3 linked regions of the Struthio camelus genome follow. The protein of the gene in region 1 purifies or fractionates together with the protein of each later gene. This does not show direct contact. Links are inferred from orthologs where the notes say so. Each region holds a gene or a part of one and is shown in the gene's direction. Other genes may lie near its edges.

The links. The genes of interacting proteins can lie anywhere in the genome.
Region 2: the proteins of KIF5B (region 1) and KLC3 purify together in Homo sapiens (affinity purification with mass spectrometry; 3 studies listed by BioGRID and IntAct, with this or other methods). This does not show direct contact. The link is inferred for Struthio camelus from reciprocal best matches to the Homo sapiens genes KIF5B and KLC3.
Region 3: the proteins of KIF5B (region 1) and KLC4 purify together in Homo sapiens (affinity purification with mass spectrometry; 4 studies listed by BioGRID and IntAct, with this or other methods). This does not show direct contact. The link is inferred for Struthio camelus from reciprocal best matches to the Homo sapiens genes KIF5B and KLC4.

Annotation. Positions count from the first base shown.
Region 1 is NC_090943.1:17,079,991-17,087,755, forward strand, and holds the start of KIF5B (kinesin-1 heavy chain), read left to right. Parts: upstream 1-4,658; 5' UTR 4,659-5,145; coding exon 5,146-5,271; intron 5,272-5,419; exon of another isoform or gene 5,420-5,481; coding exon of another isoform or gene 5,482-5,487; exon of another isoform or gene 5,488-5,982; coding exon of another isoform or gene 5,983-5,994; intron 5,995-7,765. UniProt on the Homo sapiens protein: Microtubule-dependent motor required for normal distribution of mitochondria and lysosomes. Can induce formation of neurite-like membrane protrusions in non-neuronal cells in a ZFYVE27-dependent manner.
Region 2 is NC_090957.1:1,405,564-1,412,965, reverse strand, and holds the start of KLC3 (kinesin light chain 3), read left to right. Parts: upstream 1-4,313; 5' UTR 4,314-4,323; coding exon 4,324-4,343; intron 4,344-6,258; coding exon 6,259-6,499; intron 6,500-7,337; coding exon 7,338-7,402. UniProt on the Homo sapiens protein: Kinesin is a microtubule-associated force-producing protein that may play a role in organelle transport. Plays a role during spermiogenesis in the development of the sperm tail midpiece and in the normal function of spermatozoa.
Region 3 is NC_090944.1:148,108,884-148,115,848, forward strand, and holds the start of KLC4 (kinesin light chain 4), read left to right. Parts: upstream 1-3,876; 5' UTR 3,877-3,891; coding exon 3,892-3,903; intron 3,904-5,185; exon of another isoform or gene 5,186-5,490; intron 5,491-5,606; coding exon 5,607-5,873; intron 5,874-6,080; coding exon 6,081-6,311; intron 6,312-6,665; coding exon 6,666-6,744; intron 6,745-6,836; coding exon 6,837-6,965.

The DNA of each region.
Region 1 (7,765 bases):
AGCACTCTAAAGAATACGTTCATATGCCGTTTTTTCAAAGGTTGTTTATGATATGGACAGGCTTGAGTAGTTTTACATGATTAAAAGTAGAGCCTTGACATGGATTTCCCTATGAAATTTCAATCCTTAGGTTAACACTGCTATAACTTGTACAATAATTTTCCTTTAGCAACAACAACAAGCAATGTATCTCTAATCTTACTCTCAAAAACCACTACGCTATTTTTGCTGCCACTGTAAAAAAAAAAATTGCTTGAGGCAAGCACACAGCAAGCAAAAATACAAGCCAGTGGTGATTTTAGCAGAGATTACAAGCAATGGAAAAAGAAATTAGAATAGCCCTTCTCCAAATAAGACTCAGAATCAATGCTTTAGAGAGTAAGCTTACAGAATTTTTGCATGCTTTTGCATAAAGTAGCCAAAATAAACATATGTTATTCCTGGAGCTTAATTTTGCTTTTAATTGGTCTAATATTGTTAGAAACAATTAAATATGGTCTTAGTAATTAGGAGTAAATTAGAGGTCAACTTCTGCATTTTATGCCTTTCTAGTAAAAAAAAAAAAATAATTACTCATACTTATGACAAGAAATTTATGTGCATCAGGAGCTGCATCCTCAATGCATGTTTCATCCTGCTAGTTCATACTAAAGCCTAAACTTGACTGGGACAGGAAACACATTCCAACATTGAATCATTTGGTGGAGCAAAAGGAAGCTTTATAATTTTATAACTGAATGAGACCTTTAGATAATCGAGTTTGACTCCAGTAGTATCTTAGGCCACTGAATTTCACCCATTCAACCTTCTGTTAATCTCAGCTTAGTTAGCTACTGAGTTCCCCAAGCTGAATTGACTGAACACGCTCAGTTTGTTTGCTGGTAAAGAGACTTTAAAATGTATTTGAATAAGCTGTCTGAAATAAAATCTTGTTACTTCTAATGAAGGCTTTTCCAGTGTCAAGCAATGACACTAGACTTCACAAATTATCTTAAGAACCTTTATTGACAGAGGGTGTTACACGTAACAAAGAATTTTGTTCCAAGTGCAGCACATCTAGCAAACTAATCACCCATTTGTCCTACAAGTCGATTTACAAATTCAGAATAAACTTGACCTAGAATGCACCTTAGATTCTGAAAAGTAGTGTGCTATATTTTTCCAGCATATTGCAAATCAAAATGAAAAGAGCACTTGTGTTTGCATCAGGAACACTGAATTTCAACAAGTACTGTCAACTGATGAATCTACCATCTCAGAATTTCATTCTTTAAGGGGCAGGAGGAAGCAGCTTTAATTTGCTTCTCTGCAAACACCTGCTTTAAAGATTTATCCAAATATGCAATATTCTTTTAAGATCAAATCAAGATTACTGTCACTCTGCCAAAACAATTTTCATGGTTAATTACATCAATATCCAGATAGAGTTTCACTGTAAGCCCCTTTGCTGAACATGCTGATCTTTTAATGCCAGGAAGATACTAGAGATCTAAAGGAACTGCAAATCATAAAAGAATTTCTAGAGGATTATTGCACAGATCATAGATGAGAAGAAACATAGCGAACTAGTAGATATAAAGTGGTTAGATAAACTACTTTTATTAAAAGACGTTGGTCTTTACTGAGAAACTTTACTATACTTGTTTATTAGATAAATTGTTTCTTTAGAAAATATATTTCACTTATGAGGCTCAAGTATCAGATGGAAAGATTCACTTTTTAATGACAACTAATATGCCATATTTTCTCACTATAACAGACTTTAAACGGTCTTTCACCCTAAATAATTGAAAAAGTATGGTATAAACAGGTAATTACATATTCCAGAAGAAGTAAAATATATTTCCAATTAAAAATGAAAGAGAATTTTTTCATCGTGACAAAATTGGAAACTTGGCAGGACATTTGGTCTCTGCCCTGCTTTTGGGAAAGCGGCACCACATCTTTAAGCACAAGTCATCAAGACTGCTGTTTGATATCCTATTTTAGAGCCAACAGAGATAACACACTGCTCTCTTTGAATATGCTGCAGCATTGTTAGACTGTAAATAGGTCACGTAAAAGAATGGTTGCTGAACATTTTGAAGAGCAGACCACAGAAGACAATCTTCATGACCGAATACCTGGAATGAATACGAGAACACGCATGTTTAGTTCAAGGGAACTCATTTAGTAAGGTTTCCCATAGCCAGTATGGGAGATACCGTCAACCACGGTCTCCCACGAGCTTGCATGGAACCAACAGCCTAGAAGCGGTCAGATCCTTCTACACAGTTCACACATCCCGGTATTTTTTTGTTACAGCATAATTAAAAAGAGCAACTACCTATTCACGAGTCTATACTGTCTCTTTGTAAAGTGTATGCTGTTTGAAACATTGAAAAGATAAGCAGGCCTAAGCATTTATTTTCTCGAGAACCATTTCATTACGAGCTTTTTTCCTTTACCGAGTTGTTCTTACTTTGAGTACTGTGTGTCAGCAAATGTAGCTAATGATATATCCCCTTCGGTTGTGGATAATGATAATGACAAGTTTCCCAAATAGACTAGGGTAAAGGATACATCACCAGCTGAAACATTCTGGGAGTAATAATCATGAAGTTGTTGATTTTGCAGCTAACATTTATTTTTCCTCACTTATTAAAGAAAACGAATTGCAAAAGTAGTAAATAGTTTATGTGCCCTTCATAAAAATAATAACCTCCTGTCACAGGAAATCTGTAAGGATCCAAACCCAGCAGCTGTACAAACATATGCCTACCCATAAGCACGTGGACAGTCCAAGAAATAGTTGAGTTAGACATATTAATATATCTTGCTGACTGGGATTTAAATTCACAAATTCTAAAATAGAATTCAACAAAAATAGGCTTTCTCACATTTTAAGGAGAACCACCATTATATTTTATTGACAATACGTTTCATTGAAACAGTTAAGCAGAACCATCATATGCTAGATGCTGTGGGGCAGCAGTGCACCTTCTGCAGGCGGAGTATACAGCCTGGCCTTATCAAACAGCTAAAGAGCGCTGGTAGGTTGGGTGGTGTAATTGTTGCTGCTCCGATCAAGGCGGCATAGTCCTGCAGCAGTTTTAACTACAGCAGAAAAATAAACTTGTTACAACATGATCTCAATTTAGAAGACTTAGAGCTTACCTCAGAACATCAAACAAGGTGCAAAAAATATTTTTTCTATGACAGTATGAAAAAAAGCTGTAGACGAAATTAGGTTATTAGGTAACTTTCCTGCCATGTGGATTAGCATGGAGAAATTTTGAAGCAACATCCGCCTTCTTTACCTATACTAAGTAAAAACACACCATTCAAAACCCTGCAGTAAGAAGGGCCTTGAAAATGGAGGCTGCTTGATTTCAGATGGTCCCTATTAAAATTCACAAACATGTACCCTTTTCTAATGAAAAAGAGAGTACTTTCAAAGGAATGACATTGCTATTCTGAGTCGTTCTGGCCTACTAAAATTTACTAATTTAAGAGGACTCCCTCATTTTTCATTAATTTCAAGGCCATTTTAAAAGTTTCCAGCACAGATGGCGATTTCTGACAGGAAGTTGACTTACTGAGCTGAGCTGTAAATCTGTACTTTGACCCGGTTTGAAAGTTCATATTATACCTAGATGTAAAGGGGTATGGCAGTAAAATCTTGAAACTCTTCTGAGAGCCTCTGATCTGAATGGCTTACCTAACAACTTTTTAAATCTAGATACCGTCAGTAAATATCCATGGATTAGCATTGCAGTTCTATTTAATCTGTATTGAATAAAACTTGTGATAAAGGAAACTTTAGAAAACTATCGTGCATATTCTTTCTTCATTGGAACGGAAAGGTAGGGAGAGACTTCTTCACGGGAAACGAACTGTAAAGGCTGTGTATCCTTGCAACGCCCTCCTAAGAACGTGACCTGCAGACTCCCTAGCCCCACAAGACCTCCATAGGTTTCCGGAAAAGGAATTAGTTCGGGGGAAATTTTGAAAATACTGACAGTTCCATTGGCAGGCTTTCTGTGCATACTCATGCTTTTTTTTTTTTTTTTTTTAATTCTGCTGAACAAAGGCAAAAAAGAGTCAAGACAGTTCGGAGGTTTCTCTCTCCAGCGCCTTAACTTCACGCCCGCTAAAGCTGGTAGGTCAGTTTTCAGGCTCGCCCTGCCTTGGAGGGCCGGCCCGGCCGCAGGCAGAGGGCTGTGTCGCGCCCCCCCCTCACAGCCACGAAGCGCCCGGCGCCGGCCGTTAGCGCGGGAACGCCGCCGCCTGCCTGAGGCGCGCGCCCCGTCCCCTCAGGGCTAACGGCCCCTGAGGGCCCCGGCCCCTCAGGGAGACGAGGTCTCCCGCCATGCGGTACCGTGGCCAACGTTAGCCCCGGCCGTGCGCCCGCAAAACGGCTCCGCTGCGTGCGTGAGGGGAGCGGGGGCGGGGGGGTGGGGGGACGCTGGCCACGGTCACGGCCACGGTCAGGCTAGGTACAGCGGGCGGGACGAAGCTCTCACACGCGCCCCTATCACACCCTTCTCCCCAGGCTCGGAGGGAGCCACGCCCCCACAAGACCACGCCCCCACAAGACCACGCCCCCCACAAGACCACGCCCCCACAAGACCACGCCCCCACAAGACCACGCCCCCTCGCGCTGGCTGCGCCTGCCCGGTGCGAGCGTTGGCACCCCCGACGCCTATCCTCCCGCCGGGTGGTCTCCCTCCCTCCTCCCCAGCGACGGCTTCGCGCCTGCGCCGTCGAGCTCCCGTCGTGGCCGGGCCCCTCGCCTGTGCCCCGCCGCGCCTGCGCGGCACCTCCGAGCCGAGGGGGCGGGGTTGGGGGGGGGGGGGTTCTGCAGAGGGTGACGTCACCGCCTCTTTGCCCTGCCGTCCGCGCCGCCTCTGCCCGGGAGGGGAGGGTCGGGACTTGCCGGCTGCAGGCGCCGCCATGGCTGCCATATTGGGGAGGAAGTGAGAGCAGGAGGCGGCCGTGGCGGCCAGGAAGGAGCCCTTCCCTTTTCCCTTCTGCTTAGGCGGACGCGGGCCTCCCGGCAGCGGCGGCAACGGCGGCTTGTGAGACCCCCGGAGCGGGCGGCGCAGAGGCAGCAGCGGGTAGCGGCGGAGCTGAGCGCCCCGGAGGCGGCGGCGTTGGCCTAAGATGGCGGACCCGGCGGAGTGTAACATCAAAGTGATGTGTCGCTTCAGGCCCCTCAACGAGTCCGAAGTGGCCCGTGGCGACAAGTACGTCGCCAAGTTTCAAGGCGAAGACACCGTCGTCATCGCGGTGAGGGGCCGCCCCGGATGGGAAAGGCGGGGGGTGGGGAGGAAGGCGCCGGGGGGAGGGGGTGTGCGGGCGGTGGGGTCACATACCGCGGGGATGGGCGCGGTGTGAGGCGAGAGGCTGGGCCGCGGCGGAGAGGGGTGGCTGTTTTGGGGTGGGGGGGAGTGGGAAGGGGAGGAGGGCAGGGCAGAGCGGTAAAGAGAACCGGCTAGGATGGAGGTGGGCATGGCGGGGCAGAGAGGAGAGCTCGGGGAGCGGTTGGAGGGGGTGCATCCCCTGGCCGTGCATGTGTGGTTGCAGGACGTTCCCGTGGTAGCAGGTCAGGAAACATGGACAAAGGCTCTAGCAAAAGGCTTGCAACTTGGGGCGTAACTGGAGTTGTCGTTGCTGAGCCCGAGCCACAGGGCAGGCTTCACTGTGGCCACGGAAGACGTGCGAGTTAGGAGCTGGAGCAACAGACGAGTCCTGCAGAGTGTCCCCTGGCTAGGCTGCGCCTGGTTTTGGCCACCGTGAAGAGTTTGGCCGCTGAATAAATAGTCGTTCAAAAAGTGTGCATTGGAACTAGCAGCGACGTAATTATCAACAGAAAGATTTTAGAAAGAAAACGCGCAGCAACGTGAGCTCTGCTTGACTGATCTGTAAATCAGTCATGGGCTGATAACTTCTTTTAAAGAAGAATGAACTGAGACTTTTTGACTTATTACATGTTTATGAATGCGTTTTAACGTAAGTCATCTAATAAGGTATGAGAGCTTTTACATAGCAATCTGAAAGTTTCAGGGGAGAAGATAGTCCTAGCCTTGCTGTTCATTGTGTCACATTTAGCTACAAAGTGGAGCTGGAACATAAAGCACAGTAGCTTATTGCCTGGTTTAGTTGGTATTCTGCAAATACGCGCTTTATTCCCAATGCTTGTGTTCTATCTCTGCTAACTTTTAATCATTCTCTAGAGACGATCCTGGTTCTGCATTGCTAAACGCAGAACTTAGAAATGTCAGTTGATTATTTTTCTTTAAATTTTGTTTTTGTTACTCTCTTTGTTAAGGTTACCAGTACTACCTCTTTCTCACAGTATCTGAACTTTGAAGAAGACATTAATAGCATCAGTTTTTTTTAAATATGTCATATTAAATACTAGTGCTTTATTCTGTTTGAATTCAACTGATTTTGCAAATACAATATGGAATTCCATCAGTTCTCAGCTGCAAGAAAACTAGAGTGCTTGTGAAATGAGGTAAATTTGGGCCTCTTTCAGCTGACAAGTTGTTAACTTGGAGTAGACCTCTTCTGACTGAGGTGGTACAGGTAAACTCCTCAGAGTAAGGAACTAAGCCTAGAAATGGAAATTAGAAATGGAAAACTAGAACAAATGATCTCACTCCATCAATGAGTATCCATTCATTGTGACACTGTATGATCTCTTTAAAATCCAGGATTAATTTCACAATTTTTTTTTTTCTGACTTTTTCATAGATGATGCATTTTCCACATCTTTTTTTTTCTTTCAGTAATTCTTGGGCTAAATTACAGCCGTTTCTAATGAAGTACACATCAAATAAGAAAAAGGAGGTGATCTGGAATGGACTTTAAAATGTTATTTCCACCCATGCGTTGCAGGTTGAATAGAATCTTCTGCATTCTCATCTGCAATAGTCTGCTTCTCACAATTAGACAGTTTAATTAGACAATTTAAAATTTTTTTAAGGCATTTACTACCAAACATTAAAACTAGAATTTCTCGTTGTTTGTGAATTGAGGAGAAAACTTTTATAGTGTTTAGATAGTCTTTAAATACTCTTTAAAATGTCTAAAATGTAAATTGGGCTGAGGTGGCACTAAATCTGTGTGGATCAATGTGATGTCATGGTCCTGAAGGAAAATGCAGGGCTCTTGCTGGGATTTGGTAGGGAGCTGGTATTTTTTATAACTTTGTCTAGTTTTAGTGTTTTCTGCATGAGGAAAAAACAAAAAATCCTTCAGTGATCTCAGGTCCAAGACTTGCTGTGTCTGACCTTGGAGAAAATACTGAAAAAAACCCATTAGATTATGGGAGCAGTGATGGTACTCGAGTCTTATTTTAATAGAGGATTGATGTTCTGGGATTCTGCTGTGTGTTTTTTTTTCGTTTTGTTTGTTTTGTTTTTAGTTGACTGAAGTTTTAAAAAGTTACCTTCCAACCTGAGGATATAGCTATCCAAACACATCTTGCCTGTGTTTTGTGGAATTGCTAAAGGGAGGACAGTAAAAGAAGCAGCTCTTCTCATGAAATGGTTTCTAAAAACATTTCTCCATAAGCTGTATGTTTGGTTGCTTTCAACTGTTTATTAGAATTTCTGTGTTTACAGCTACATGTGATATTGTCTGCCATTTGAACAGTGAGTTGAGCCTCTTTTTATTTATTATGTATATTTGCTTCCCTTGTCTGCTATTGCCCTCGAGCAGCCTGATGGAGGCTTCTGTTATGGCTTCTGTGTGTGCCAGGGTCTATGCTGAAACA
Region 2 (7,402 bases), on another chromosome or scaffold:
ACCGGAGAGGTCCGGTGCCGGTACCGGTGCCGGTGCCGCGGGGTTACCTGAGCGGCGCGGACGAACGGGTCGGGTCGGGTCGGGTCGGGTCGGGTCGGGTCGGAGGGGTCGGACCGGCAGCGGCGGCGGCGGCGGGGAGCGGGGCCGGGCACCGGCCTTTATAGCCCCGAGGCCGCGCCGCCCCCCCGCCTCGGCCCGCCCCCGGGGGGTACCGGGGGGTCCGGGGCCACCGGAGGGTCCGGGGCACCGGGGTGGTCCAGGAAACGGGGGAGGTCCCGGAGCACCAGGGGGTCCGGCACATCGGGGGGTCCCGGGACACCGGGGGGTACCGGGGGGGGCCGGTACCACCCGCCACTGGGTTACATCGAGCTGGACCGGGCGGGGGGGGGGGGGCAAAACCGGGACTAGGGAGGTAAAGCTGGGACGAGGGTCGGGGGGGGAAAACCGACCCCAGGGGGTTAAAACCAGGACCGGGGGGTGCAAAACCAAACCCGGGGTTTGGGGAGGGTAAAACTGAGCCTAGGGGGCAAAACCAAGACCAAGGGGCGGAACCAAGACCAGGGGGGTAAAACCAGGCCCAGGGAGGGCAGAAGGGCCCCAGGCAGCCCCGGTGCGATGGGCCCGGCCTCACCGGGACCCTCCAGGCCCCCCCTGCACCGAGCGGGTCAGGCCTCAGCGGCGGCGGGTGGCCAGCGGGCACCCTGCCCGGCAGCTGCCCGGCCCTGAAATACGGCCGCGAGGTGGGGCCGGGCGCTGGGCCAGCCAGGCGCCCGCTGCGTCCGGCCCTCGCACGCGCGCCCTTGCACGGCGCCCTGTGCCTTCCATGGGTGTCCTGTGCCTTGCATGGGTGCCCTGCACCCTACATGGGCACCCTGCACCTTGCATGGGCGTCCTGCACCCCACATGGGCAGCTTGCACCCTACATGGGCACCCTGAGCCTTGCATGGGCGTCCTGCACCCCACATGGGTGTCCTGCACCCCACATGGGCACCCTGTGCTTTGCATGGGCACCCTGCACCTTGCATGGGTGTCCTGCACCCTACATGGGCACCCTGTGCCTTGCATGGGTGTCCTGCACCTTGCATGGGTGTCCTGCACCCCACATGGGCACCCTCTGCTTTGCATGGGTGTCCTGCACCTTGCATGGGTGTCCTGCACCCCACATGGGCAGCTTGCACCCTACATGGGCACCCTGTGCCTTGCATGGGTGTCCTGCACCCCACATGGGTGTCCTGCACCCCACATGGGCACCCTGTGCCTTGCATGGGTGTCCTGCACCCCACATGGGCACCCTCTGCTTTGCATGGGTGTCCTGCACCTTGCATGGGTGTCCTGCACCCCACATGGGCAGCTTGCACCCTACATGGGCACCCTGAGCCTTGCATGGGCGTCCTGCACCCCACATGGGTGTCCTGCACCCCACATGGGCACCCTGTGCTTTGCATGGGCACCCTGCACCTTGCATGGGTGTCCTGCACCCCACATGGGCACCCTGTGCCTTGCATGGGTGTCCTGCACCTTGCATGGGCGTCCTGCACCCCACATGGGTGTCCTGCACCCCACATGGGCACCCTGTGCTTTGCATGGGCACCCTGCACCTTGCATGGGTGTCCTGCACCCCACATGGGCACCCTGTGCCTTGCATGGGTGTCCTGCACCTTGCATGGGTGTCCTGCACCCCACATGGGCACCCTCTGCTTTGCATGGGTGTCCTGCACCTTGCATGGGTGTCCTGCACCCCACATGGGCAGCTTGCACCCTACATGGGCACCCTGTGCCTTGCATGGGTGTCCTGCACCCCACATGGGTGTCCTGCACCCCACATGGGCACCCTGTGCTTTGCATGGGCACCCTGCACCTTGCATGGGTGTCCTGCACCCCACATGGGCACCCTGTGCCTTGCATGGGTGTCCTGCACCTTGCATGGGTGTTCTGCACCCCACATGGGCACCCTGCGCCTTGCATGGGCACCCTGCACCTTGCACAGGTGTCCTGCACCCCACATGGGCACCCTGTGCCTTGCATGGGTGTTCTGCACCCTACATGGGCACCCTGCACCTTGCACAGGTGTCCTACACCCTGCATGGACACCCTGTGCCTTACATGGGTGTCCTGCACCTTGAGTGGGTGTTCTGCACCCAACATGGGCACCCTGCACCTTTCATAGGTGTCCTGCACCTTGCATGGGCACCCTGCACCTTGCGTGGGCACCCGGCACCCTGCACAGGGCTCGCTGTTCCACCTCCCGCACCCCGGTCCTTGCCCGCTGCGCCCCCTCCTCGCACACGCGGATGTGGGTGCGGGACGGGGAGAGGGTGGAGGGAGGGCGGGATGGAGAGAGGAAATGGAGGGAGAGAGAAGGGAAAGGAGAGAGGGCCGGGCAGAGCGTGGGAGGGATGGCGAGAGGGAGGGAGGAGAAGAGATGGCAGGAGGAGATGGAGGAAGAGAGGAAGGGATGGAGGGAGGAAGGGAGAGGGACGGAGGCAGGGAGAGAGGGATGGTGGGACGGATGAGGGAGCAGCGGAGGGGTAGAGGAGATGGAGGGAGGTGTAGGAGGGAGGGAGAAGGATGGCAGGAGGTGGCGGTGGATGAGAGGGATGGGTGGCGTGATGAAAAGAGGATGGAGGGATGGAGAGAGAGATGGAGGGATGAACAGAGAGGCTAGAGGGAGAGAGGGATGGAGAGATGGAGGAGGGATGGAGAGATGGATGAACAGAGAGGATAGAGGGAGAGAGGGATGGGGAGATGGAAGGAGGGATGGAGAGATGGAGGAGGGATGGAGAGATGGATGAACAGAGAGGATAGAGGGAGAGAGGGATGGGGAGATGGAAGGAGGGATGGAGAGATGGAGGAGGGATGGAGAGATGGATGAACAGAGAGGATAGAGGGAGAGAGGGATGGGGAGATGGAAGGAGGGATGGAGGAACGGTGGCGGGAGAGGGGAGATGGAGGCAGGGATAGATGGAGAGAGGGATGGAGAGAGAGGGGGAGACCCAGGTGAGGAGAGGCCGGCCACAAGGGTCTCCCCCCTCACCTCCCCCAGCGCCAGGTCCACGGGTGCCCCTTGGGGACACGGTGGCACCCCCGTCCCCAGGCCGGGGAGGCCACCGGTGGGTGGCACAAGCCATCCCCACGCCCAAAATAGCCGCGGAGGGTGCCAGCAGCGCCCCGTCCCCCATGTCACCCACACCCCCAGGGCGTGGGGTCCCTGCTGTGGGTGCTGGGTTGGGGGGGGAGGTCAGGGTGCTGGGGACACCCAGCGGGTGCCGTGACCCTGGGGAAGGATCCGCTGGATCAGGGCAATTCTAGCCGGGGACGAGCCTCCCCCCCCCTCCCCACCCGGTATTTTTAGGCCGGGTCCGGTTACCCGCGGGGATCCGGTGTCGGGCCGGGCGGTGGGGCGGGGGGGAAGCGGGTGCTGGGGACCCCCACGGGGGGACCGGGAGGGCCAGGCGGCGGGGACACTGTGAGGGCACCCACCACCCCGCATGGGGCCCTGCGGGGGAAACCGAGGCAGGGAGTGGGGTACCCCCCGCCGGGTGGCCCCAGGCACCCAGGGGTGGGCGAGCCCCCCTCCCCGTGCTATGGTGGGGGGGGATGTTGGGCTGTGGGTGCCCCCCCAGGCAGGGCAGGGCACCTGCACCCATGGCAGGGTGGGGGGGGTGAGGGACACCTCGGTACCCCCGGAGTGTACGTGGGGGGGCTGTCTGGGTGTCCCCAGGGTGTGTATGGGGGGGTCTAGGTGACGCCAGAATGGGCATGGGGGGGCCTGGAACCCCCACAGGGTGGGTATGGGGAGGTCTGGGTGACCCCAGGGTGGGCACGGGGGGGTCTGGAGCTCCCCAGGGTGGGTATGGGTGACCCCAGGGTGGGCATTGGGAAGTCCTGCAGCCCCCCAGGGTGGGTATGGGGGGGTCTGGGTGCCCCTGGGGTGGGCGGGGGGGGTCCAGAGCCCCCCAAGGTGGGTATGGGGGGGGTCTGGGTGCCCCTGAAGTGGGCAGGGGGTGGTCTGGAGCCCCCCAGGGTGGGTATGGGGGGGTCTGGGTGCCCCTGGGGTGGGCGGGGGGGGGTCCGGAGCCCCCCAGGGTGGGACGGGGGTGCCAATAGGGTGCCCCATAGCACTGGGGGGGTCCCCTTGTCCTTGGGGTGCCCCCTAACCCCGGCGGTGCCCCCCCCTCTCCCGGGGCCGCCTCAGGGCGCCCCCCGCTCCCGCTGAGGCGGCCCAAGATGGCGGCGGCGGGGGCGGCGCGCGGGGCATTGTGGGGCGGCGGCGGCCGCAGGTGAGCGGCGGTGGCCGAGGGGCGGGAGGGGGGGGAGGCGGCGATGCCGGAGCCCGGCGGCAGGTGCGTACGGGCGGCCGGTTCGAGCCGGGGCCGCCGGTTTCGCTCCCGGGGGGGGGGTGGGGAGGGAAGATACCGGTTTTGAAGGTGGGAGGGGGTGTCCGGTTTTGGGGGAAGAGGTGTGTGTGTGTGTGGGGGGGGTCCGGTCCGGGAGCGGGTTGGGGGGGGGGGCGTCGGGCTCTCCCGCTCCCGGTGCGCTGCGCTGGCTCGGCCCGAGCCGACCGGGGGGCTCCGCCCGGTGCCGCCACCGCCGGTGGGGCCGGGCCGGGGGGCGCGCGCGGGGCGGGGCGGGGCGGGGCGGGGCGGGGGGACCCACGGCGCATGCGCGCGGGAGGGGCGGGGGGCTGTGGATGGTCGCGTGCGCATGCGCGCGGGGGGGGCCGGGAGGGGGGGCCGGGGAGGGGCGCGTGCGCATGCGCACGACTGCGAAGGGAGGGGGGCGCGCGTGCAAGGGGGATGGGCGCGTGTGCGCATGCGCTTGCCGGGGGTGGGGCGGGGCGCGTGCACGGGAGGGGGCGCGTGCACGCGGGCGTGCAAGGGTGCGCAAAAGGTGGGGGCGGGTGTGATCACCGGTGTGCAAGAAGGGGGGGGTTGCGTTTGCACGCGCACACACGTGCAAAGTGGGGGGGGGGCACACGCATGTGCCTCTGCCCACAAAGCCCGGGTGTGTGGGCCCGTGGGCGTGCGAAGCTGGGTTGTGCGTGCAAAGCCCAGTCGTACAGGCACATGCGCGTGCAAAGCCTGGTGGCGTGCACGTGCGAGTGCAAAGCCCGGTTTTAGTGCGCGTGCACCATTGCAAAACCAGGTGGGGCATGCACGCGTGAGTGCAAAGGCAGGTTGTGTGTGCAAAGCCCAGTTGTGCACGCCCGGGCGTGTGATTGTGTGTGCAAAGCTAGCTTGTGTGCACACATGCGAATGCAAAGTCGAGGTTTTGTGTGCACGCACAAGTGCAACATGGGTGACACAAAGCCGGGTTTGTGCAAAGCCCCGGGCGAGGGCTGAGAGTATGCACGCGAGCGTGCAAGCCTGGAGATGGTGCCAGGCCAGGTGGCTGGGCTGGGGGAGGGGGGCATTGCGCGTGCACATACGTGTGCAAAACCAGGCTGCACGTGTGGGCCAAGGTGGGCGCACGTGAGCTGGGGCGTGGGTGCACGAGGCCTTTGCACGTGGCGCCCGTGGGCGAGCGTGGGCACGCTGGCCGCATCACCCGGGCAGAGCCGCCCCGGGGCACCGCACCCCTGCTGGGTGCAGGCTCCTCTGCCCGGCTCTGGCACCCGTGCCTGCACCCGTGCAAGATATCCATGGCTGGCTCTGGCACCCGTGCATCCAGGGCCAGCACCCATGTCTGCCTCCAGCACCCGTGCATGACACCCGTGCATGACACCCATGCCCACCTCTGGCATCCGTGCATGTCACCTGTGCATGTCACCCATGCCCACCTCTGGCACCCGTGCCCGGCACCCGTGCATGGCACCCATGCCTGCTTCTGACACGCATGCATGGCACCCTTGCCCAGCTCCAGCACCCGTGCCCAGCACCCATGCCTGACCCCCGTGCCCACCTCTGGCACCTGTGCCCAGCACCCATAAGAGACATCCATGCCTGGCTTCGGCACCCGTGCATGGGATCCAAGCCCAGCACCCATACCCGCCTACAGCACCCGTGCCTGACACCCATGCCCACCACTGGCACCTGTGCATGGCACCCATGCCCAGCACCCATGCGTGACATCCATGCCTGGCTCTGACACCTGTGCATGGCACCCATGGATGTCACCCGTGCATGGCACCCATGCATGACACCCATGCATGACGCCTGTGCCCAAAAGCAGCACCCATGCCCAGCCCGGCCACCCGTGCCCATCTCAGCACCCATCCCTGCAGCGCGGTGACCCCCTCCCACCCCTCCGCTCCCGCAGGCTCGACAGCCCCATGGCAGCACCCGGCGGGGACCCGGCGGGCCGCCCGGCACCCGACGCCCTGGTGACGGGCACCCGGCAGGTGGTGAAGGGGCTGGAGGCGCTGCGCACCGAGAGCCGCCAGCTGCTGCGGGTGCTGGAGCCGGGGGCACCCTGCGACACCCCGGAGCTGCTGGCCGAGAAGCGGGAGCTGGCGCGGCGCTCGCTTGACGGCATCGAGCTGGGCCTGGACGAAGCGGAGGTACGCGGCGGGCGGGTGGGTGCTGGGTGGGTGTTAGGTGCTAGAGGTGGGCTGCTGGGACGGCGCTGGCTGCTGGAGCCAGGGTGGGTGCCGGAGCCAGAGCTGGGTGCTAGAGCTGGGACAGGTGCTGGAGTTGGATGCTAGAGCTGGATACCGGAGCTGGGATGGGTGCTGGGTACTAGAGCTGAGTGCTGGGTGCTAGAGTTGGGTGCTGGAGCTGGGATGGGTGCTGGGTACCAGAGCTGGGTGCTAGAGCTGGGATGGGTGCTGGGTACCAGAGCTGGGTGCTAGAGTCAAGTGCTGGAGCTGGGATGGGTGCTAGAGCCAAGTGGTGGGTGCTAGAGCCAAGTGCTGGAGCTGGGATGGGTGCTGGGTACCAGAGCTGGGTGCTAGAGCTGGGATGGGTGCGGGGTACCAGAGCTGGGTGCTAGAGCCAAGTGCTAGAGCTGGGATGGGTGCTGGGTACCAGAGCTGGGTGCTAGAGCCAAGTGCTAGAGCTGGGATGGGTGCTGGGTACCAGAGCTGGGTGCTAGAGCCAAGTGCTGGAGCTGAGATGGGTGCTAGAGCCGAGTGGTGGGTGCTAGAGCTGGGCACTGGAGCTGGGATGGGTACTGGGTACCAGAGCTGGGTGCTAGAGCTGGGATGGGTGCTAGAGCCAGAGCTGGGTGCTAGATCCAAGTGCTGGGTGCTAGAGCTGGGATGGATGCTGGGTGCTACAGCTAGGTGCTGGGTGCTAGAGCCAGGTGCTGGAGCCTGGATGGGTGCTGGAGCCAGAGCTGGGTGCTAGAGCAGGTGCCAGGTGCCCCATCCGTGCCCGACACCCTCCCTCTGCCCCCAGCTGCTGCTGGGGCTGTGGGCGCACGTCGGGGCGCTGGAGGCCGAGCGGCAGCGGCTGCGGGCGCA
Region 3 (6,965 bases), on another chromosome or scaffold:
GTGGTCGTGCACAGAATGGCGCACTGTTCCTGCCCCCTGCCACGAATGGCAGCCTCAGCAGGCATGTAGCCCAGCAGGGAGCCATATACTGCAATTATTTCTGCAGACCTTACTGTTAGCCGTTCAGCATCTGTCCTTTAATTTCTGGCTCTTATTCCTAGCTGTAGCAGTTCTTAACTGTTACCCTGAAGCTGATTGTACGCCCATCTGTCTTTTCACTTGCAAAACATCCTTCTCTTGCTTTTGTTTCTGAAGTTTCAACATGTGTGCTTGCAGCTGCTCGGAGCTGTGAAGTTCTTGGGCACCACACAGAGCTGATCGTATTTCCTGTGTTCCCCCTATCAGAGCAGCTCTGGACACACCGCCTGTCACGTGCAACTTGGCAGCACCAGTGTGCGGTCCCTTTTCCGTGGCACTGTCACAGCTCACGTGGGGCGACGACCCTGGCCGCAGCAGTTCTGCTGGTAGTGATGTGACGGTGTGAATGTTTCCTGGCCTTGCAGCAGGAGCTTCCTAGCCTCTGTCTGTTTCCTTTCTGATGCCACAGGACAAAAAGCAGGAGAAAGCTTGTGCTTGTGACACAGCCTCTGGGACGGTTGCAACCCTGGGACTCTGTTTGCTTTTTATTGTTGTTATTTTATTTTTGAATGTCTAAGGCATTAGGTCTGGGTGTTGTTGCAGTGTCCCTTAGGAGTGGAGGCTCTGCAATTGCAGATTTCAGTCTCAGCTTAATTGGAGTTTGACCAGTCTTCCCAGAGATCTTTTATTGTGTTGTGTAACAGTAATGAGCTTGCAGAGGTGCAAAGGAAAAAAACCTCCCTGCCTCTATCAAGTTATGGTTTGCTTCCCAAATGCATAGCTTTCTTCATTTTCCAGGTAGTGAAGGCATGTCCCACAGCACATGACTGGGATGATTATTGTGAAAATAAGACTTCAGGTCCCATGTTTCCATCTCTAAAACACTATTGTTGCTATCCATCTCCCAAACTTGGTCTCTTGTTCTCACTAAGAATCAGTTTTATTCCTTCCCACAGAAAGTTTTCCTTTCCTTCTCTCCCCACCCCCGAAACCCAGTTGTTTTTCTACTGCCACCATATCCTTATATTGCTTTTTCCCACATAAGAGTGTGCTGCTAAAATTTTTACTTGCTCCTATACAAAAAGGACTGGCAGGCAATCCATGGCTTGAAGGAAGCTGCAGTTATTGTCTTGACAGTGTTGCTTGTGCAAGTCTTGACACTGCCCTGTGTCTGATACACACTTTGTCCGGGGACATCTGGGGAGACAGTGAAGGGAGCTGACTTTGTAGAGGCACGTGTAGAGGTGCAGGCAATGACCAACTCAAGTCTTTGTTCTTATTGTAGTTGACACCTGATTTTCCTGGTGATAATTTTGTTGCTCCCTGTGGTCTTCCAGCATTGGGCATCATGATCTAGACCCGTTTAGTCTGGCATCCTAGTTTCTGATGTGGCAGCTGTTGTGGGTTTAAGACACAAGCAGTGAAGCTTCCAGCTTTCCTCTTAAAGCTCTTGCACGTGGGAGCATTTTTCAGAGGCAGAAAAGTGGGCTGATGAAAGTGTTGATGCTCAGCAATTGCCTGGTTATACACTTGAATCGAGGAGGAAGGTTCCTGCCTAGCAGGACATGCCAGCTGGTGGATTCCCAGCTCATTGCTGCGACTGCCAGAAAGCTTGGTGCACGCATGTTCCTCCCCTGTCCTCCTGCAGCGCTCCTCCAAAGGAGAGCAGGGGAGGGGAGGGGAGACCCGTATTGCTGAAAAGCCAGACTGTTCCAGCAGCTTACTGCGAATAGGGAAGACGTGCCAAGTAGAGCAGAAACATGCTGCTGGAGACCTGGGCTGCAGCACCCGCAGAGCCGTAGGGGAGCCAGCAGGAGAAACTGGGAGCTGGACACTCCAGCTCCCAAGGATGCCCACTGGAAAAGCACCCTTTCTTCCTATTTCCAAACTGCCCGGCCTGAGCCTCCCCCTTCCAAAGGTAAAGGGTGGTGTCTCCCCGTCTCTGAGTGGATATTCTGCCTGGACAAAAGGCACTCGGTTCCCTTTGCTGAGCGTGTGGGAGTGGGAAGAGTGCTTACACAGCAGCCTCAGCCTGCTTGACCTTAGTGTCGGTTGCCATAGAGCGTGTTTGCTCTCTTGAGGGCTGTGCACTGGGCGTAGACCTGCCGGCACTGGGGAGAGCTAGAAATAAGGTGCTGTAAGGACAAACTGTCACTTTGGAGGGATAATAAACCATCTCTCACCAGCGTTTGTGGGCTTTCTTTCCTGTGCAGGAGGTAGCAGCATTTAAGCAACTCCTCTGCAGTTCTCTCTTTATTTCCTTGTCAGTACTTGGGAGGGGAATAGGACAGCCTGAGTGCTGTTGCCTGGTCTTATGCCCTTACGGGGGAGTGTCCAGCCTAGACAATCCCCCCCCCGCCACCACCCTTGCACGGGAAGTCAGAGTTGGGCGCTAAGCCTGTTGGTAGCTAGCAGAGCTGCGTGTCTGGGATATCGGAGTCTGCACACCTCTTAGGGAAGAAAGGTGAGGGCTGCGTAGGTATTTGCACAGCCGAAGAGATAAGGGATATCAGTATGTCTTGAGGATCCAAGGATCATTATATGCACTTCCAGGGTAGGTTAAGTCTGATGTGCCCTAAGTCAGCACGTTTTGCTTATTTTCCCTTCTCAGACACTCTGAAACGTTGAAAGTTGTGAAAGAAAGTTAATTGTGGGGACTGTGAAATGCTCTCAGCTTTTTCTGCTGGAAAGGCTGAAGAAAGACGGGATGCTGCTATTTTAACAGACAGCTCAGACTTCTCAGTCAAGGAGTAATTCTGTGCGTGGTGGAATTAATGAGGCTGATTTCATATGGATCTGGGTCTTGTCTGACTCTGTTATCTAGCAAGGTGCAAGTTCTGATGGTGACTTTTTGTCATGATTCATAATGTGTACCTCTCTCCCATGTGTTTGTAGTGTGCTTATCAAAGATGGCAGCAAGAGCTCATCCTCTCTGTAGGGGCATCCGTAATGCTTCCTTGAACACTGTCAGTGTTTCACAGATGACCCTATATGTGGAGGGACGGATGAAGAGGCGTTTGCAGGCTGCACAGCTGCGTGAGCTTTAGGGCAGAGCTCTAGTTTTGCTGTATGCTGGGTACGAGGCAGTCCCTGGGACCTCCTCATGTCTCTGAGCGTTGGCTCTGCTCCAGAGGACTCCTGTTTTCAGATTTCTCTGTTTTTGAGTCTAGGGCTGAGTTCCCTCCTGAGTTGAAGCTAGTGACAGGTCCGTTTTGCCCTTTAGCAGTTGTTACCTCAGCTTTGGTGGAAGCAGATAGGTATCTGCCCTGACTTCCTCTGGAGCCAGGAATCATTGCACATCTCTTCCTGAATTGCGCTCACCGGGAGAAGGCTTATTTTAGGTTTTGGGGGTTTATTTGTTTGGTTTTTCTCCTCTTGTTGCATTAACACTTAATTTCCCCCAGCCCCCCCTCCACCCCCACCCCCCACCCTCCGTGATGTTTTATAAAGATGGAGAAAAAGAAAAACTGGGGAATTATGGACCAGATGGATTCTCTAGGAACTGGCAGTTAAGCAATTTGGAAGAGAGGATGTGAGTGGCAGCCAACTCCCAACAGACCTCTCTTTTTTTTTTTTTTTTTTTTTTTTCCAAAGCAATAGTCTGTTAGTCTGTGCCCTGTGTCTTGACTCAAGTGAGGTTTTCCATGCTGTTCTTATCATGTTGTGTTCTCCTACACAAATGGGCAAATGTCACAGGCCGGATGAAACTTTTGGGAGTGAAGTGCAAAACGGTTGGGGTGACTGCATGCAGGGAATGACAGACGCTCAAAAGGGAAGGATACGACAAGCTTCTGCACAGGGCTGGTGCTGCTGATGGATCATGAGGTAAATATGAATTCAGCATTGTGACTTTGTGTGGGAGGACAGTCAATTCCTGCTGAAAGGTATGAAGAGGAGCCCAGTCTTCAAGCAACATGGTGTTTTTTTCTGCTCTGCTGAGGTTCAGTAAGGGTTCTGCTGTGCATTGAGAGCTCACTATGCTTTGCAAGGGGTGGAACAGAGACCAGAGAGGAGCTGAGAGGAGAGCTGGGGCCTGTAAAACAACTCGAGGAAGTTCTGGAGGAGTGAGGCTAACCAAGAGGAGACGGGTGGGGTGTCATGGGCTGTGTGTGCTCGCAGCATCTGCCCTGGCTCCATCCATCTTCTCTTTCCCTGCTGCAGTGAGGAGGAAATTGGTCCCCTCTCGTGCCCAGGGCCTGCTCCTAGACAAGACTGGTGGTAGCTGAGCTGGGGGATCGTCCTGAGCCCTCCTGGGCAAAGTGTGCAGCTGAGGAGGAGAGGAGGCTTGACGAGGAGGACGAGACATTCTTGCTGAGGGCGGCATTTCTGCTCGCTCTGTGAACCCAGGCCCAAGGCTGCTGCTGAACAAATTACTCAAAATCCTGCGGAGATAGGTCCTGCAGGAGGACAAACACAAATCCGCCAGGCGGCTCCTCAGCCTGTCCCGCCGCCACAGTGCTGTGTAACGCCTGGGCAGTCTGCCAGCAGGGTCCAGGGTGCTCAGCTTGCGCTGCCTCCTGCCAGCTCTGGGCCTGCAGAAGGGTGTCGCTGGGCAGATGCTGCTGCCTGCTGAGGGGCGTCGCATTGTGAGGCACGGCTCTCCCTAGCTCCTGAGTTTGCTATGCAGGGATCTTGCGGTCATGCTAACGTGGTGGATTGTAGCGCTCGGTGCCCCTGTGTAAAGGCAGTGGCTTGGTACTGTCTGTTGTATAGATGGGGAGAGTGAGACGGGGAAGGAGTGCAGAGTTCTTGTGCCATCCTGAGGAGTCCTTGGGCTGGCAGCAGGGCAAATGGAGCTGGGAAAGCTGCTGCTGTTTTAAGCTAACACCCACACAAGGGTTACGCTAGTATAACTTGCGCAGTTGGTGCATGTAAACTTCCCCACACAGACGTGCTTCAGTCAATGTTGGTGTTTTCGTGTCCCACAAGGGCTGTTCTGTGCCGGGGGCTGAGATTTTCGGGGTCCGCATTTGGTCAGGGAATTTGTTGACTGGTCTAGTAAGTCCACAGGTGCCTCCCAGTCTGAGAGGTACTCTTCTAGGGAATTTGAGGAAGCGGAAAGCTTTGAGCTGGCATCTCTCCACTTTCTATTCCCTTTCTTCTGCAGTCGGAAGAGGCGTTGAGCTCTGACAGCCTCCTCGCATCAGTGATTTGTGGGCGGGAGGTGTACGTGTTGCAGCCCCAGCTGCCGACTACAGATCTCTGCTCTTAAATGGAAGCTAAATCAGCTTTCCTTGCTGCCAGGGGTGTGGGGGTGTTGGAAGTCAGCGCTTGTTCTGGCCTTTTTGTCTGCTGTCCATGCGTGCCACCTGCCCTGTCTGCCAGTGCTCCATGCCACAGAAGCAGAGACACGTGCCCTGAGAGCTGCCTGCTGCCAAAGGGAGAGGGGAAGACAAAGGGGAAAGACTTAGTGTGGGTAACCAGTTGTACCCTGTCTCTGGCTGCCTGAAGGAGGCTTACACTTGTCTGATTGCAGCTCTCTGAAATAGCACTGAGGCTCCTGGGTTTTTGTCTCCCTCTCTGTGTAGGGCTGCGGTAGCAGGACTATGTCCACCATGGTGTACCCAAGGGAGGAGAAACTGGACAAGCTGAGCCAAGAGGAGATCATTTCCAACACCAAGCTGGTGATGCAGGGGCTGGAGGCACTGAAGAATGAACACAACTCCATCCTGCACAGCTTGCTGGAGACCATCAAGTGCCTGAAGAAGGATGAAGAAGCCAATCTCGTGCATGAGAAATCCAACCTGCTCCGCAAGTCAGTGGAGATGATCGAACTGGGGCTCGGAGAAGCTCAGGTGAGAGTGGCGAGTGCCCTCGTAGGTGGTAGCAAGAACTGATGGGGAAGGCAGGCATTTGGCTGTTTTTTGTAAGCTGCAGGGGCAGCAAAGAGCTGAAGGTAGAGGGCCAGGGTGACCCAGAGGGTGGGCCCTCCTGAGCTTGCGTGTTGTAGGGGATACAGGATTGTGGTAGGTACTGACTGGCCAGCTGGGACTTTTGGCAAGGTGATGATGGCATTGTCCAACCATCTGAACGCTGTGGAGTCGGAGAAGCAGAAGCTGCGCGCTCAGGTGCGGAGACTGTGCCAGGAGAACCAGTGGCTGCGTGATGAACTCGCCAACACCCAGCAGAAGCTGCAGCGCAGTGAGCAGACCGTGGCTCAGCTGGAGGAAGAGAAGAAACACCTTGAATTCATGAACCAGCTGAAGAAGTATGATGAGGATGTCTCTCCTTCGGTATGTTCTTGTCTGGGGGAACAGCTGCCTTTGTGCAGGGGGCTGGGACCAGTGGGATTGCCTAGGTTTAATAGCCTTGTCCCTTGCTGGCTTCCTTGCCCGGCAATACTTGGCTGCAACTAAAGGGAGACCGCATGGGGCAGGGTCTCGGGCAGAACGTGGGGAAGGGTGCCAGGGTGCGTTGGGGGATGTTGTGTTGGCTTCATTGGGTGGGAGGGGAAAGGTGGCAGAGGCCACAAGGAAGCTGAGGGCCTTGGTGGGCTGCAGTGGAGAGGAGAGATTGGCAGCTGATTTGGCCCAGGCTGCTGCCACCTCCTCTGAGAACCAACAGCATCGTGATCCCCATTCTTCCAGGAGGAGAAGGAGGGCGACTCCACCAAGGACTCTCTGGATGATCTGTTCCCCAATGAGGAGGAGGAGCACGGTCCTGGATGTAAGTGTTTGTGCTCATGCATGGTTGCCGACCACCTCTGTTTCAACCCGTTGTGCCCAATGTTGCCCCCGTTTACTCATCTGTGCCCACAGTGCCCCACCAGCACAGCAGTGCAGTGGCAGCTGCCCAGCAGGGAGGCTATGAGATCCCCGCACGCTTGCGTACCCTCCACAACCTTGTCATCCAGTACGCCTCACAGGGACGCTACGAGGTAGCCGTGC